Drosophila melanogaster: one gene and its partner. The gene in region 2 interacts genetically with the main gene of each other region. Each region holds a gene or a part of one and is shown on either strand. Other genes may lie near its edges.

Evidence for each region. A genetic interaction does not mean that the proteins touch.
Region 1: of Synd (region 2) and chp, changing one enhances a phenotype caused by changing the other (phenotypic enhancement), as found in Drosophila melanogaster (one study listed by BioGRID).

Annotation. Positions count from the first base shown.
Region 1 is NT_033777.3:31,204,715-31,212,575, reverse strand, and holds the start of chp (chaoptin), read left to right. Parts: upstream 1-1,845; 5' UTR 1,846-2,312; coding exon 2,313-2,315; intron 2,316-2,856; coding exon 2,857-3,093; intron 3,094-3,219; coding exon 3,220-3,933; intron 3,934-4,031; coding exon 4,032-4,207; intron 4,208-4,506; coding exon 4,507-4,641; intron 4,642-4,726; coding exon 4,727-4,955; intron 4,956-5,014; coding exon 5,015-5,624; intron 5,625-5,678; coding exon 5,679-5,809; intron 5,810-5,864; coding exon 5,865-6,121; intron 6,122-6,178; coding exon 6,179-6,320; intron 6,321-6,379; coding exon 6,380-6,738; intron 6,739-6,796; coding exon 6,797-7,220; intron 7,221-7,283; coding exon 7,284-7,525; intron 7,526-7,585; coding exon 7,586-7,772; intron 7,773-7,837; coding exon 7,838-7,861. Other genes in the region: zwilch, read left to right, coding at 1-393, 451-946, 1,008-1,262, 1,324-1,391. UniProt on the Drosophila melanogaster protein: Required for photoreceptor cell morphogenesis. Mediates homophilic cellular adhesion.
Region 2 is NT_033777.3:20,831,006-20,838,811, forward strand, and holds the start of Synd (syndapin), read left to right. Parts: upstream 1-1,793; 5' UTR 1,794-1,868; intron 1,869-3,391; exon of another isoform or gene 3,392-3,460; intron 3,461-4,219; 5' UTR 4,220-4,222; coding exon 4,223-4,326; intron 4,327-4,869; coding exon 4,870-4,979; intron 4,980-6,579; coding exon 6,580-6,917; intron 6,918-7,029; coding exon 7,030-7,256; intron 7,257-7,319; coding exon 7,320-7,440; intron 7,441-7,507; coding exon 7,508-7,618; intron 7,619-7,670; coding exon 7,671-7,806. Other genes in the region: CG31223 (uncharacterized protein), read left to right, coding at 183-211, 271-1,426.

The DNA.
Region 1 (7,861 bases), about 10 Mb from region 2:
TTTCGCGTGGGCGACTGCGGTCCTTTGACGCAGGACTTTATGAATCAGCTGCGCATTCTGGTCTACATACGCGAGGACATCGTCTCCTACCACACGGATGTCAAGCAGGGCGTCTCTCGGGATCCCACCTATCGTTGTGGCAGTGGCATTGACATGGACGAGCTGCGCGAGTCCATTAATCAGACAATGACAGATGTCTCTGGCCTTATAGGTCGGTATAGCATCAGCAATGCGGAGTTTGACATCGAAGATGTGGTGCAGAGGGCCAAGGTTCGCCAGCTCACGGATCTAACCGATAAGCTTTGGGAGCTGCTCAAGTGCTGCCACTCCTACAAGGATCTCAAAATTGCCTTTAGTATGCTCTTCCAATGTGCTGCACGGTGTAACATAGTAGTAAGTATGCTAATGCATGCAAACCACCACATATTATTCATGTTCCTCACCCCATAGAACACGCCTACTAACAAAAATCGACTTGCCAAGATTATCACCGAGTTGGCCAACCGTCGTCTGGCCATGCCTTGTTTAAGTGGGGCCGAGCCTCTGGAACTGCTTTTGGAAATTGGCCTGGAGAAGTTGTACAAGGACTACGAGTTTATCTACACCGAGAGCAAGATGTGCAGCACCAATCTGTTGAAGGATGACTCCAGCGGAGCGTCGATGGACGATGGTTCTCCCCAGAATCTGCCCCAGCTTCGAAAATCCCTGCACAATGCGGTCAGGGGTGATCCGACCCCTGGAGCTGGAATGCGAAAGACGCTGCTGCATCATCACGGCGCTGTCAATTCGCGGAGTACAAAATATGCCGGTAGCGACGATGATGCTGGGTTCAAAAACAGCCATTTCGACGAGCACGAGAGTACGGAGAGAATCTCAAAGTTGTTTCAGATTCACTGCACCTTAGAGCATCTCCTGATGATGCACATCCACTTAAATCTGGCAAATGGTAAGAAGGACAAAAAGCAGATCCTGGGATTTTTAGCTATAACTCCGTTTTTGACCTACAGTTTACAACGATGTCTGTTCTGAATTGCTGAAGAAACCGCCTAAATTAGTAGAATCCATCGATGATCAGCTAAGTGATGTTATGGACATTCGCCTGTCTGCCCACTATGTGAGGGATCACTTGGATGGCAAGGATCCCTACTCCCGGCACATTACCATGCGTTCGCACAACAAGTTCCGCGAACTAAAGACCACCTTCTATTTCAATTCGGAAAACATTTGTCCGCCGAACTTGGCTCAGTGTTTCCAGTGTGATGGTAAGTTTGCTTTTTGACTTGTTTATTTTCTATAGCTATGGTAATATATTTGACTTCGCAGACAAGGAGATGGTCAAGGAGCGCACATATCATTCCTGGATATATCACAAGATTCGCTCACTTAAGTAAGGCTTGCTTAGTAATACAAAATTGTACATTCTTTAAATTTAAGCATGGCTAAGAATGGTTTAAAATGGCCTTTTTCACATTGTAATAATTTATTTAATGGATATCTAGCAAGAATGTCCCTTAGCTGCATAATGTTTTGAGACACATTTAAAATGTTGAATTTTTTCAAACACTGCTTGTTGTATTATTAAATTAAATGCCTTTTGGTTATAACTTTTCAAACTTTTTTTCTATCGAACCTTTTTGTTCGGAATTTTAATTGTTTGAGCTTGTTGAACACGCTCTTCGACGCGTTTTCGCAAACCTCCAAAAAAGTCAGCAGTGCACACCGAAATCATGTTAAACGAACTCGTACAAGTTTTAAGCCGACCCAGAGGCTATTGCAGCTGCATTGGGAATCTTGAAAACCTGGCCGAAATCCGCTTCCGCCCTGCTCGCACTTTTATCACAGTGTTTTTGCCGGCCATATTCTATACAAAGGTCAGCATGACCAGCATTTGGCCATTCCTCCAGTGAAGTAATGCTGCAAATGAGGCGAAAAGAGTGTGTGCCCAATGGTGACGGCGCCATCGAGCATTCCCGATATGTTACAATCCAATTAGCCGGATGCGCCAGTTGGCCAACTAGAGTACTTGGCCCGTCGCTGATTGATTTGCAGTTTGTCAGACGTGCGTGGAACGCGCAGCGGTTCGGTCGTGTTTTTTCCAGCCCTGTTTTTCCCCTGAAAAGCGAACGGAATTTCAAGCAAGGATTTCCACGCGAGTGTCCTGGCCAGGGAATATAGCCACTGGGAGCTGGAAATCAAATCAAATTTTTTGGACAGTTGACTAAAGAGTGAAGAGTGAACAGTGCCCGTGAAATCTTAATTAAGTTTGTTTAAATCGCCAAGTGTCGCGAGTGTCTAATTTAATTTACAGCAAAATGGTGTGTATTGGCCAACAAAATGGCCTGATATCCTGCTAAACTAAATCTAAATTGCTATTGAACTACAAAAGAGGACATTTGATAATCTATGCGAGTAGCCCTTGAAGTGCCTAAGTCTTGCGACTTAAAAAAAACCATGGACGGATTCAAATCCTGTGAAATGAAGACACCCCTTTGGTCTAGTCACCCCTGAACTTATCCTCGGAAACTTTTCCAGACACAACAGCTAATCCTTTTGCGAAGTCGTAGTGAAACTGCTAACAGGCTTGAGAAGCCATATTAAAAGTAAAAAGTTAAACGTCCTGCTGACGTTTTCATAATCTATTTAGCTGAGAAAAAACTGATCCTTTGCAATGCGGGCTAGAATTCAATTAAAGGATATTATTTAATGGATACTATTTTAAGATGATAAACCTATATCGTTCTATAGATATCTATGGATACTATAAAGCTGGTTGGAAAACTTTCTCTTGTGACTAAGTGCTAGTCTTCCTATAATTAGTCATCCCAGTACCCAGTACATTATCCATTCTATCCCTAGGGCCTCGAATTTTTCTTTAAGTTCGGCTATGCCTTCCTGACTATAACGCTCATGATCATGATCTGGATGTCGCTGGCTCGCGCCTCCATGTTCGATCGCGAGATGGAGGAGACGCATTACCCGCCCTGCACCTACAACGTGATGTGCACCTGCTCCAAGTCCTCCACGGATCTGGGGATAGTGCACTGCAAGAATGTTCCGTTTCCGGCACTGCCGCGCATGGTGAACCAGTCAAAGGTGAGTCGTAAGATTAGCTATCTCCATAAATCAACACTTTTAGTTCTGGTCATACCCATTTAATTACCCATAACCACCACCACATTAATTTATTAACTCCGATAACTGGAATGTATTCTGGTTTAGGTTTTCATGCTGCACATGGAGAACACAGGTCTGCGGGAGATTGAGCCCTACTTCCTGCAGTCCACGGGCATGTACCGCCTAAAGATCTCTGGGAACCATCTCACCGAGATCCCAGATGATGCCTTCACCGGCCTGGAGCGATCGCTGTGGGAGCTGATTCTGCCGCAGAACGACCTGGTGGAGATCCCGTCCAAGTCCCTGAGGCACCTGCAGAAGCTGCGTCATCTGGACCTGGGCTACAACCACATAACGCACATTCAGCACGACTCGTTCCGCGGCCTGGAGGACTCGCTGCAGACGCTGATCCTGCGCGAGAACTGCATATCGCAGCTGATGTCGCACAGCTTCTCCGGGCTCCTCATTCTTGAGACCCTCGACCTGAGTGGGAACAACCTGTTCGAGATCGATCCGAATGTGTTCGTCGATGGAATGCCGAGGCTGACCCGTCTGTTGCTCACGGACAATATCCTCTCGGAGATTCCGTACGACGCCCTGGGTCCGCTAAAGAGCCTTCGCACCCTAGATATCTCCCACAATGTGATCTGGTCGCTCAGTGGCAACGAAACCTACGAGATCAAGGCCAGCACCAAGCTGAATCTGGACAATCTACACCTGGAGTACAATCACATCGAGGTCCTGCCTCCCAATTCATTCAAGTACTTCGATACCGTCAACCGCACCTTCTTCGATGGCAATCCCATTCACACTCTGAGGGTAGGTTAACTAACCCTTGTGAAACTTAACTGGACGAAAATCCCTCCCAGAAATTTGATTTATAAATAACATATTTGGAACTTACGGTTCGCTTTCAGGAAGATGCATTTAAGCCCGCTCGAATCAGGGAGATCTACATGCGCTACTGCGGCCTGACCAACATTTCGCCTGTGGCCTTTGACAGCCTGGTGAACAGCCTCCAGATCCTGGATTTGTCTGGCAACAATCTCACCAAGCTGCATCATAAGCTCTTCAACAATTTCGATGTCTTGAGGTGAGTCGAGCACCTGCACTCCGATTCACTCACGTTCTGCCCCCATTCCATTTGCACATGTGCATATTGGGGGGAACTAATCGGATTGCCGGCAGCCTCTAAGGCTTCTCAAGTTCCTAAGTTCGTGTGTGCGACAAGTGGGTGACCCTATTTAAAAGAATTCGAGGAAGAGGGAAAAGCCGCGCAATCAGGCAATCTTGCAAAAATACGCGGCACTGAGAAAAAGCTTGATTTGCATAGCTATTATTGAATTTTATAATGGTAAATTATAATTCTATACATTTATTTCTTAATAATAGGGTCATCAGCATGCGGGACAATAAGATCAAGATCCAGAAGCCCACGGAGACCTTCAATGCGGTGCACTACACCCTCCTGAAATTGGACCTGAGTGGAGACCGCAACGACCCCACCAATCTGCAGACCCTGCGCAAGTAAGTGAACCCAGTGCACCGAGAAACATCCTGCTCCCCACACACCCTTCACCCCAGAACCACTCTTGTATTTATTTACAAAAAGTATGACCAGAATGCGGAACATGAGATCACTGTCGATCTCGCGCCTGGGATCCTCCTCCGTGGGACCCGAGGACTTCAAGGACTTCGGCGTGGAGCTGGAGGATCTGCAGATCACCAGGGCCAGTCTCTCCGGGATTCAATCGCACGCCTTCAAGCACGTTAGGGGTCTGAAAAGGCTGGACTTTAGCGAGAACGGAATATCAAGCATAGAGAACGATGCCTTCCATGAGGTTATTCAGGATTTTCTTAATATAATTGGGCTCACTTAATAAAAAAATCTATTTTTTAGATTGGTCACTCGCTCATCTCTCTGAAGATGTCGCACGGCTATTCTGGCAGTGCCCTGCCAGCTGAACCCCTAAGGCATCTGACCTCCCTCCAAGAGCTGGACTTTAGCAACAATCACATCAGCAGCATGAGCGACACCAGTTTCCATTTCCTGAAGAACTTGCGGCTCCTAGAGCTTCATGACAACAGGATCGAGCAGGTTTTAAAGGGCACCTTCCAGGGCGACATTCACTCAAAGCTGGAGGAGATCTCGCTTCGCTTCAACCACCTGACCTCCATATCCCAGCATACCTTCTTCGATCTGGAAGCCTTGAGGAAACTGCATCTGGATGACAATAAGATTGACAAGATCGAGCGAAGAGCCTTTATGAACCTGGATGAGCTGGAGTATCTAAGCTTGAGGGGCAACAAGATAAACAACCTGGCCGACGAGTCCTTCCAGAACCTACCGAAACTGGAGATCCTGGACATGGCCTTCAATCAGCTACCCAACTTCAACTTTGACTACTTCGACCAAGTGGGTACCCTTTCGAATCTTAATGTGAACGTGAGCCACAATCAAATCAGGCAGTTGATGTACAATTCCTCGTGGAGTGGACGAAATGAACATGGTAGGGTCTTCTTTACTAGCAAATCTCCAGTTTGTTAATAGCTTCACTATACAGGTGGCATGTACCACTCGAATATTAAGATATTGGATCTTTCCCACAACAATATATCTATTATCCATCCTGGATACTTCCGGCCTGCTGAAATTTCGCTGACACACCTACATCTGGGCTACAATTCGCTGATGGTAAAACAAATTGTATGACTTTGTTACCAGCCTTTTATACCCTTTGACCCTTTAGAACACGACTCGTGATGTCTTCGGCAACATGCCCCACTTGCAATGGCTGGACCTCAGCTACAACTGGATCCACGAACTGGACTTTGATGCCTTCAAGAACACCAAACAGCTCCAGCTGGTCTTCTTTGGCCACAATTACCTCAGTGACATTCCCCAGGATATATTCAAACCTGTCCAAGGCCTGCGCATCGTTGACTTCTCGCATAATCACCTGAGGGGCCTGCCCGACAATCTCTTCTACAACGGAGGCATGGAAAAGTGAGTAAATAACTATATAGTCAATGTATGGACATAATGTATTCGTGACTCTTAAAGATTGGATGTGTCGCACAACATGATGTTGAAGATCCCCTCCTCATCGCTGTCCAGTTTGGCTGCGCTGACGCTTTGTGAACTGCACCTGTCCAACAACTTTATCTCTACCATTCACAGCATGGATTTGTCCAACAAGTTTAGAGTAAGTGAATTGGTAAAACCGTTTAAAATTATAAGACACAATCTTAATTGTGACTATAGTCCCTGCGCTACCTGGACATCTCATACAACTATCTGCTGCGAATTGATGATGCAGTGTTCGCCACCATGCCAAAACTGGCCGTTCTGGACCTCTCCCACAATCGGGATCTGAAGGTGATGGATAAGTCGTTTATGGGCTTGGAGAACTCGCTGATCAAACTGGGCCTGGAGAACATTTCTCTGAGCACGGTGCCCGAGATTCGACTGAAGTATCTGCGGGAGTTCCGCCTGGGTTACAATGAGCTGCCCTCGATTCCGCAGGAACTAGCCCACAATATGAGTAATCTGCGCATGCTTGATCTCTCCAACAACGACTTGACCAATGTGCCACTGATGACCCAAGCTCTGCCCCACTTGAGGTGCGTTAATCCAACTTGGTAAATGGTCTATCTAATCAGTATTTGCAATTTACAACAGACGTCTGATGCTTTCTGGCAATCCCATAACCTCGCTGAACAACAACAGTTTTGATGGCGTGAACGAGGATCTTGAGATGCTGGATATATCGAATTTCCGGCTGCACTACTTCGAGTATGGCTGTTTGGACTCGTTGCCTCACTTGCGATCGCTTAAGCTCACTGCCTATTCCCACCTGGAGCACTTTAATATTCCACATCTGTTGCGCCACCATTACAATATCCGCCAGTTGTGGATCGAGGCCCCACAGCCCTTCACTCGCATTGTTAAGAAGGGATCTGGACCCACCCAGGAGATGCAGACCCTTCAGCTGGGCAATCCCACCGACTTGCAGCGCGAAATGGAGGGCCATCTGCCCTCCAAGCTGACCAACATCACCTTCAGTGGTCCCCAGTTCACCAACCTGAATGAACGCATTCTAAGAGTGAGTAATTCTTCCAACTCGATGTCTATATAAGCTAAAAATTATATATTTAATTTGATCCAGGGCATGCGTTCTCCATACCTCTACATGCAATTATTCAATACCTCGCTGCAAGCCTTGCCTCCGAACTTTTTTAAGTACATGGGCCGAGTTCGGAACATTTCGCTGGACATTCGCTACCACAACAGGAACCTGAAGAAGATTCCCAATCCAAACACTGGAGCTGTTCCCTATCTGCCGAATAGTGTGTTCCTCACGGACTTGAAGATGTCTCACACCGATCTCAACTGCGATTGCGACCTAGGGTAACGCCTGGTTTTCTTATTGTACGATATTGAATTGCAAATTATAATTTGTTTGTATAGGTGGGTGGAGTTTTGGCAGCGCAAGAGGCGCCAGTACATCTGCTCCTCCCAAACCTGGACCGATACCGTCTTCCGCACCTTCATGAACTCACCTTGCCAAGTGTACGGACGTCACAACTGCGACGAACACGACGATGACCTGAGGGAGACGCGCTGTGAGAACAAAGGAGGGCAACAGCTGATGGAGGTGGGTATCCGATGGAATATTGCCAAGGCATATGTCGCTAATCGCTAATCGCTATCCCTCGATAGGCCCTCAAATTCGATCTGGAGTGC
Region 2 (7,806 bases):
AAATCCAACTCTTATAATATCTAAGTCGTATAATTTGTTTACAAACAACTTTATTTTGTTTACAACAAAATAAAAACTTATCCATTTGAAAAGCCGTTACTTAACGAATCGTGGTTACGGTCACACTACAGCGATCAGCTGTTGGCGACCGCACTATTTTGTTTATTCCATTTTGTTTGACCATGTCGGAAGCCGATGAAAAGTGTCACTTGTAAGTAGTTAACAAGTAATATTAATTATAGCGGTTCAATATATATTAATCTCCTGCAGCTGTCGCGAGGTGTCCTTCAAGTACACCTGTCCCAAGTGCAATGCTTTGTATTGCAGCGTGGGATGCTACAAGTCCAAGGAGCACCTTAAATGTTCCGAGGCTTTCTACAAGTCCTGCATTCAGGACGAGCTGACCCAAAACACGGTAACGCAGGAAAGCCAGGAGGACATGCGGAAAATATACGACATACTGAAGAGGATGAGAGAAACGGACAGTGGTTTCAATCCCCAGGAATTTGATACAGATGGCCTGGAAAATAGTTTGGACTCGGATGGAGGCGAGGAAGGAGAGTCAGAAGAAGATGAGGCGGAAGAAAACGTCACCGAGGGGGACATACTGGATGAAGACCTGGAGGAAGACATTGCAACTCGACTGAAAGGCGTTGATATCAACGATGCGGATGAAGTTTGGAGCCGGTTAACTACAGAGGAGCAAGATGAGTTCCAGAAATTGATCACCAATGGAGATATCATGAAGCTTATGCCAGACTACAAGCCCTGGTGGATCAAGCCGAAGAACTCTAAGATTGTGATTATACCTACACCCGAAGAAGCTGCCAAGAAAGAGAGCCGTGTTCCCGAAATTTTCGGGAGCATTGCCAAATTCTCCGATATATGCAAGAAAACTCCGTCTCCGTGCCTGCACTACAATTTGTGGAACATACTAAGCGCCTACGCCTGTGTGGCTCGTTTCTTTGGCGGCGAACAGAGGACCAATGCCAGCGAGGCAGTGGCCCACCTTGTCAATCTCAGCGCCACCTTAAAGTACGGCACCAACTTCGAGGATGCTGAGGACGCTATTGTCTCCGTAGAGATGGAAGCCATCACCACGGGTAATGGTCCTGCCGGCGCGGCTGCAGTTGGAAGTGCTGCAGGAGGTGCCAATTTCCTCGTCGACAACAGGGAGCAGCTGCAGCAGGATGCCCGCCAGTTGATGGCTACGAAGGAGCACAAGTTGGCCGCCCTTAGTGATGTTCTCTATCTGCTGCAGCAGACGAAGGCAATCAGTCGCCGTAAGAATACCCAGGAAGCCGAGTTCCAGAAGCTGTTCGCTTTGGCCAGCGGAAGTGTGCAATTGGATCGCACCAAACTGGCGCAACTGGTTCGCAAAATCGAGTTTATGCTGTCGTATGTGGCGCGGGAAGAAGTCCTTTAAGCAATCCTCTAAAATAAACATTTCAAAATAATTCTGTTTTTATATTGTCCACAAAATTTGGAGCGGTATTGACTATAGATTGATTGTTATTTTATTGTTTTATTTTACTTGGAATTTAAATACAACTATGTATAATTAGTGTACACATTTTGATTGGAAACTTCAGTATTTTAAGGACTTAAAGAACAAATTGGTTTAAGTAAAACTTGACTTTGTGCTAGTACTGTAACTAGTACTTAAAAATATGTACAGATGTCTTAAAAATAAATGTATATCCTAAATACATTTCGGTATTTTTGTATTCGTATGGAGCGGTATTTTCAGCTAGCCGCGAGGTGTATTTGAATGGTCGCGAAACGGTCACACCTCACATAGTTTTTTTAGTTGGCGATTCCAGACACACACTCGAGTTGTAGTGCTTTTTTACGCTATTTTGTTATTGGTAGGTTGTCGCCCTGCTTCGGTATGAACAAGTGCCAGAGACCCAAAGCCAAGGATTATTTAACAACCATTTAAATGCAGTGCAGCTGCAGCAGCAGCAACAACAAAAGCGATCGCAATTTAGAACAGAACATTTCATGTAAACGCGTTTGGGTGTAGCGGAATTTCGCTTCCCGTGTGTTTGTGTGACCTAGCCGAGCGTGTGTGCGTGTCGGTGTGCGTCTGGCAACAACAAAATCCAATCGGCCAGCAAGTGCTCTTCGTACGCTTCGCCTGCTAAAAATTAGTGCACAGCGAAAGCATTTTAATAGCAGCGCCCCAAGAAAACCTTATGTAAGGTGTGCTGGAAAACGATGCAAATATTTACAGTAGAAACGGTCGAGACAAGTTCAATCTCAAAGATAAACGAGTTTCTTGGTTGTTTGGCGGAGGGGGATTTCTTATCGCCTAAGTGTGCGACGTGTTGGTTTAGATGTGCATATACGTATGTGTGTGTGTGTGTGTGGCGCGAGTGCTTGTGAGAGCGCCGTAAAGGTGCTTATCTATCTCCACAAATATGCGAAGTATGCGTCAACCTGTTTGTAAACTTTCTGCTGGCCATTTCCACACGCAAAACACGAAAATCGCACTGAGCCGCGATCCTATATTTATATTTATAGCCGATGATGGGGAAAATCCGTAAGCGCATCGTGAGTCGATGACGCCCAAATCAAGTCAACCCAAGATACAAGATTCCACATTCAGCAGACCCAACATCACCAATCTACACATGTGTGTAGGTGATTAAACTTCAGCAGAGGTTATTATACATATATAAATAAGAAAGCATGTATATAACCGGTCAATGCTGCTGATAACATAACCGTTATTCACCATACGGGTGTGTGCGAGTGGAACTCAAACTGACTGCATTGTTTACAAACAGCTGATGCAGGGAAACTCCACTCCACTGATAAGATACCAAGATTTCCCATCGCCGAGTATGAAAAAATTTAGCTCGCTACACAGAGAGAATTGAAATGTTAAATGTTGTCACACGTAAGGGTCTCCAATACGATGTACACTGCTGCTCTTAGGTTAGACGCACAATCGTTTTTTTTTTAACAAAATCGATCATTTATTTGCATGCTTTTTTTAATTGTCCAAAATGCTTTTCTTATCAAAGTTTTCTGTTGGTCATTGAATTAGATGCAGCTTAAATTTCTTCGTATTGCGTGGACAAGTATAAACTGTTGTATTGAAAAAATATAACAAATAAACGAATAAAGTGTTTTCGAGCTACATTTGAAGAAAAAATGGGTAAAGCTGCTGCTTATTGGAACGTCAAAAAGTAGACTTCCTACACTCGCAAGGATTGCCTAATCGGAACATTGCCAAACAGATAAATCGCAGCTGCAGAACTGTTGATAGATATTTGAAGGTTCCAGAGGCATATGGGAATAACTTCAAAGGAAAGAAAAAAGCACTATCAAAGCAAGCAGAACGCCAAATTGTTAGAATTGCTTCGAATTCTAATTTTCGAATTTGTCCGGAGTAAAAACAAGCGTATCAACTGTTCAGCGTACAATCAGAAATGCAGAACACCTGAAGCGTGTATGTATATTAAATTTCAAATTCAATTTTTGGGATCTCATTTATCTGGGTTACAAAATATGGGTGCATGAGAATTCCCTTGATAAGATGAAACTATTACGGTGGAAAATGTATGCTACACAGAAAGAAAATCTGTCAACATTATCTATTTATCTCAAAAAACAGAAATAATATTTGAAAGCGATACTAAAAATAATCGAATTCAAAATAAATTACAAATATTTATTTATCTTAATATGGTTAAAAATATGTTTATTTTTTAGTTTCGAAGAAAATTTTTTCAATTAAAATAAGACATTACCTTAATATTCCAATTTGAAAATAGTAAACCCATTGGCAGAACACCATGCAAAGTTGCACAATGAGTCAGGGGTGATAAGTCCAGTCTTTATCAATGGGGACACTCGGCGAAACCGTCAAGAAATATGGTCGTTGATAAGGCTCCAGTAATTAAAGTTCTGCCTGTTGCATCAATGTGAAGGAATTTCTTAATTGAACAAATTAGGCAAACAATAAATTTACTCAGAGCCCGTCTCGTTTGGGTTTACTATAGTATGTCGTTTAACAAACGATTTGTTGGTCTTAGCCAAACACTACAAAAATACAAGTTTGCGTATAAACAAAGAGCTTTTTGTTGTTGCTGCTGTGTGGAAGTTGTTTATGTCTGCAGTGTCTATTTACGTAACAAAACTCATATTTTACGATTATTGCGCTTAAGCCCGTCGTATGTGATTGATTAATATTGATTGGAATCCACAGGAAATGTCCCACCACAGCGATGATCAGCTCCTCCAGGCTGGAAGCGATTCCTTCTGGGAGCCCGGCAACTACAAACGCACCACCAAGCGGATCGAGGATGGTTACAAGTGAGTGGATAATCCCCAGGGAGTCTTGGTGCACAGAGAGATACTTTATTTTGCCATTATGTCAGTCGAATTCCTCGACATAATACAATTGGCTTAATATTCAAAAACATATTCGTAGCTGCAACCCAATCGTTTTTCAACGTTTCTGTCATACCAATTGGTATTGGTAACTGTATCTTTTCTGTGTGTTTAGTAGGTCATGCAGTGTCATCACATTGTTTTGAATGCAAACTTACAGCAATTCGTATTTATTTAAGGGAAAAAAATAAGAAAATATAAAGACCTTGGTATAAGCATTGGTCTTAGTATTAACTCAATTTGTTCTACTTATGTGGACATTTCATAAACTTTTTTAATGAGCTTTGATTTCTAGTGATACAATCAATCTTTTTAAGCAAATAGGTAATGGGTTCTCTCTGTGTATTTGCACTGGGCGACGCTGGGTCATTGCCAGCCGAATATATCGACACCCGAAGCCCAAACCCAAGACAAAAATTCAAACCGGTTTGCATTATTATGATTCTTGTCTCATTTCGCCCGCAGACTCTGCAATGACCTACAGCAACTGATTCAGGAGCGTGCCGACATCGAGAAGGGATATGCGAAAAGCCTGCGCACCTGGTCAAAGAAATGGGGTGAACTCATTGAGAAAGGTAAGTGAGCGGCAGGTGGGGATCTGGTGAGATATGGGGATGTGGGTGGCTGTGGCCTGTGGGATGAGACATCATCAGTCGTGGAAGCCTTCTGTTGGCCAACACATTCATTCACGAGCTAAAAGCCCAGTGGAGCATCAAGTGACCCGCTCACGTTGAATTCCCACCACTTATTTGGCCCACTGGCTGTTCTTATTTTCTACATTCTGTACATCATTCTGAGCATTGTTGTTGCCGTTGTGCGATAAGTGGCTTAAGCTATTAATGGTTTTTTTTACGTTTTTCGTTACCTCGTTTTTGTCGGTTGTATTCTGCAAAAGCTGCGCACTGTGGTTCAAAATCGCCACACCAATTTATTTAAGTATGTTAATGAGCGGGGCTGGCAAAGTGTTTGGATTAACTAACATAAACATATGCATACACTCTTCACACTCTTCATTCTAAACAATTAAAATTCGGCAGCGGAAATCTTAAGTTTGTACAAGAGAAAATAATAAATAAATAAAGAATCAAATATCTGTGGGTTTCTGCTTTATAGTAATATACAATTTTTATTTTTTGATATATAAGTTATATGGGTTCTTAAGGTTTTATTACCTTGCTATTGCCTCATATATGTACTTCTATAAGTACACACTACCAAATACTATTTTCGAAAACGGCGGTAATCATCGACTCACTCATTGTTTTCGGAATTGGGTCTTTGACCATTTTTAGCGGATGTCCGGCACAGTGTGCGCGCTTCTTCGTAAAATGAAATCGAGTACAGCGCTTGCGAAGTTGGAAACCGCTTTGCCCCATTGGTACTGTTTGCTTCTATTGCTGCTATTTTCTGTGACCGCCTCTGCACGGAATTCTCAGTGTCCACTTTCACAGTAACCAGCGATGGGCAATTGCAAAAGCGACTACCATCACTTCCTCCGCCTCCGAGTGCTCTTCGAGTTTTCTTATTTGCGAGGAATTTGCCTAGCCGCGTCTAGCCAAAGATACAGATACGAATACGTGTGCAGATACAAATACAGATACAGATACGTTCACAGTTACAGATACGGAGACTGGGAGGCAGAAGCGCTGGACAGTGGCCCATAACTCGGCACCAAAGCAAACCGGCACCAGAGCGTCGCTTGAAATGGTTTCAAAAATCAATGCGACGAGAAAATAGAACGAGTTATTTGTGTGCTAAGCGTCTCAATTTCTATATATCTGTTTGTGTGCCTTTTCACAGGGGGAATTGGGAATAGTGAGTCGTTAGGCAAACGAGTTCCGTGCACTGCCAATTATAAGACGAGCATCATATCAACTTGATTGCCGTGTGTTTGGGGTCCCAATAAAAAATGCCAAAAATGTACGATGTTCCTCCATCGCAGCACCCATACAAGCGCTTATTCTTCGGGCATTTTATATTTGCTATACCTATAGATATGGCTACATATGTATGTTTGTATATATCTTGCGGCTGCGGCTGATTAGATAAACCAAGTACCCGCGGGGCTCACGATGACGTCAGCCGCAAACAGCTCGACAGGGTGACACGCTTGTAATCTGTTGTTAATTGAGAAACGCTAAAAGAGATATATAACGAATGTCTGATTTGTTTCAGGCCCGGAATACGGAACCACGGAGGCAGCCTGGAAGGGCGTTCTGACGGAATCGGAACGCATCTCCGACGTTCACATGAAGATCAAGGACAATCTCTGCAACGATGTGAACAGCCAGATAAAGACGTGGCAGAAGGAGAACTACCACCACACGCTTATGCAGATCAAGGAGCGCAAGGACCTGGAGGATCTGTTCAAGAAGGCCCAGAAACCCTGGGCCAAGCTGCTGGCAAAGGTCGAGAAGGCCAAAGCGGACTACCATTCGGCCTGCAAGACGGAGCGCAGTGCTACCAATCAGGAACGCAATGCCAATGCCGATAGCTCGTTGTCGCCGGATCAGGTAAGGATCTTTTTTGTAAAAGCAATAGTTTAGTTATACATATGTATGTATAACTATTAATTTAATTTATTTATTAATTTTATGCTCACACCACTTCTCATTTCCTAATTAGGTGAAGAAAATGCACGATCGAGTGCAAAAGACCAAAGATCAAGTGCAAAAGTGCCGGGAAAAGTACGAGCAGGCGATTGCCGAAATCACCAAATACAATTCGGTGTACATCGAGGACATGACATCCGTGTTTGAAAAGTGCCAAACCTTTGAGAAGACGCGTTTGCAGTTCTTCAAAGAAATCCTGTTCAACGTGCACTCGTGCCTGGACCTCACAAAAGTGCAAAGGTGCGAATTGAATTTGATTTGAGTTTAACTGATCCATTTAAATAACTTTTACATGACTTACAGCCTGCCCCAAATCTACGAGGAGTTCTCCCACACGATCAACAATGCAGACCAGCAGAAAGACCTAAAATGGTGGTCGAACAATCATGGCATTAACATGGCCATGAATTGGCCATCATTTGTGGTGAGTTTTCTGTTTTTACTGAAGCCCAGTGTGGCCGCTAATGGAAGAACTTCCTATTTGTTGACAGGAATATACGGAGGAGTTCCGTGACATTGCCAAGGGCAACAAATCAAAAGAGGCACTGCCGGCAGCACCCATCACGCTCATCAACCAGCGACCTGTGGCCGAGGATGTGCACGTAAGCCAGTTGACTACCCAGTAGTTAATATCAGACTAAGCCAGCTCTTTAGCAGGAATACCCCCAGACAAACAGCCTGAAGAAGAACACCAGCACCTTGAGCAGTGTCAGCAGCAGAGCGAGTGTGAAGAGCGAAATAGCGACCACGCAATCCTCAGTCACCACATCGGAAGCCAAAACATCGGCGG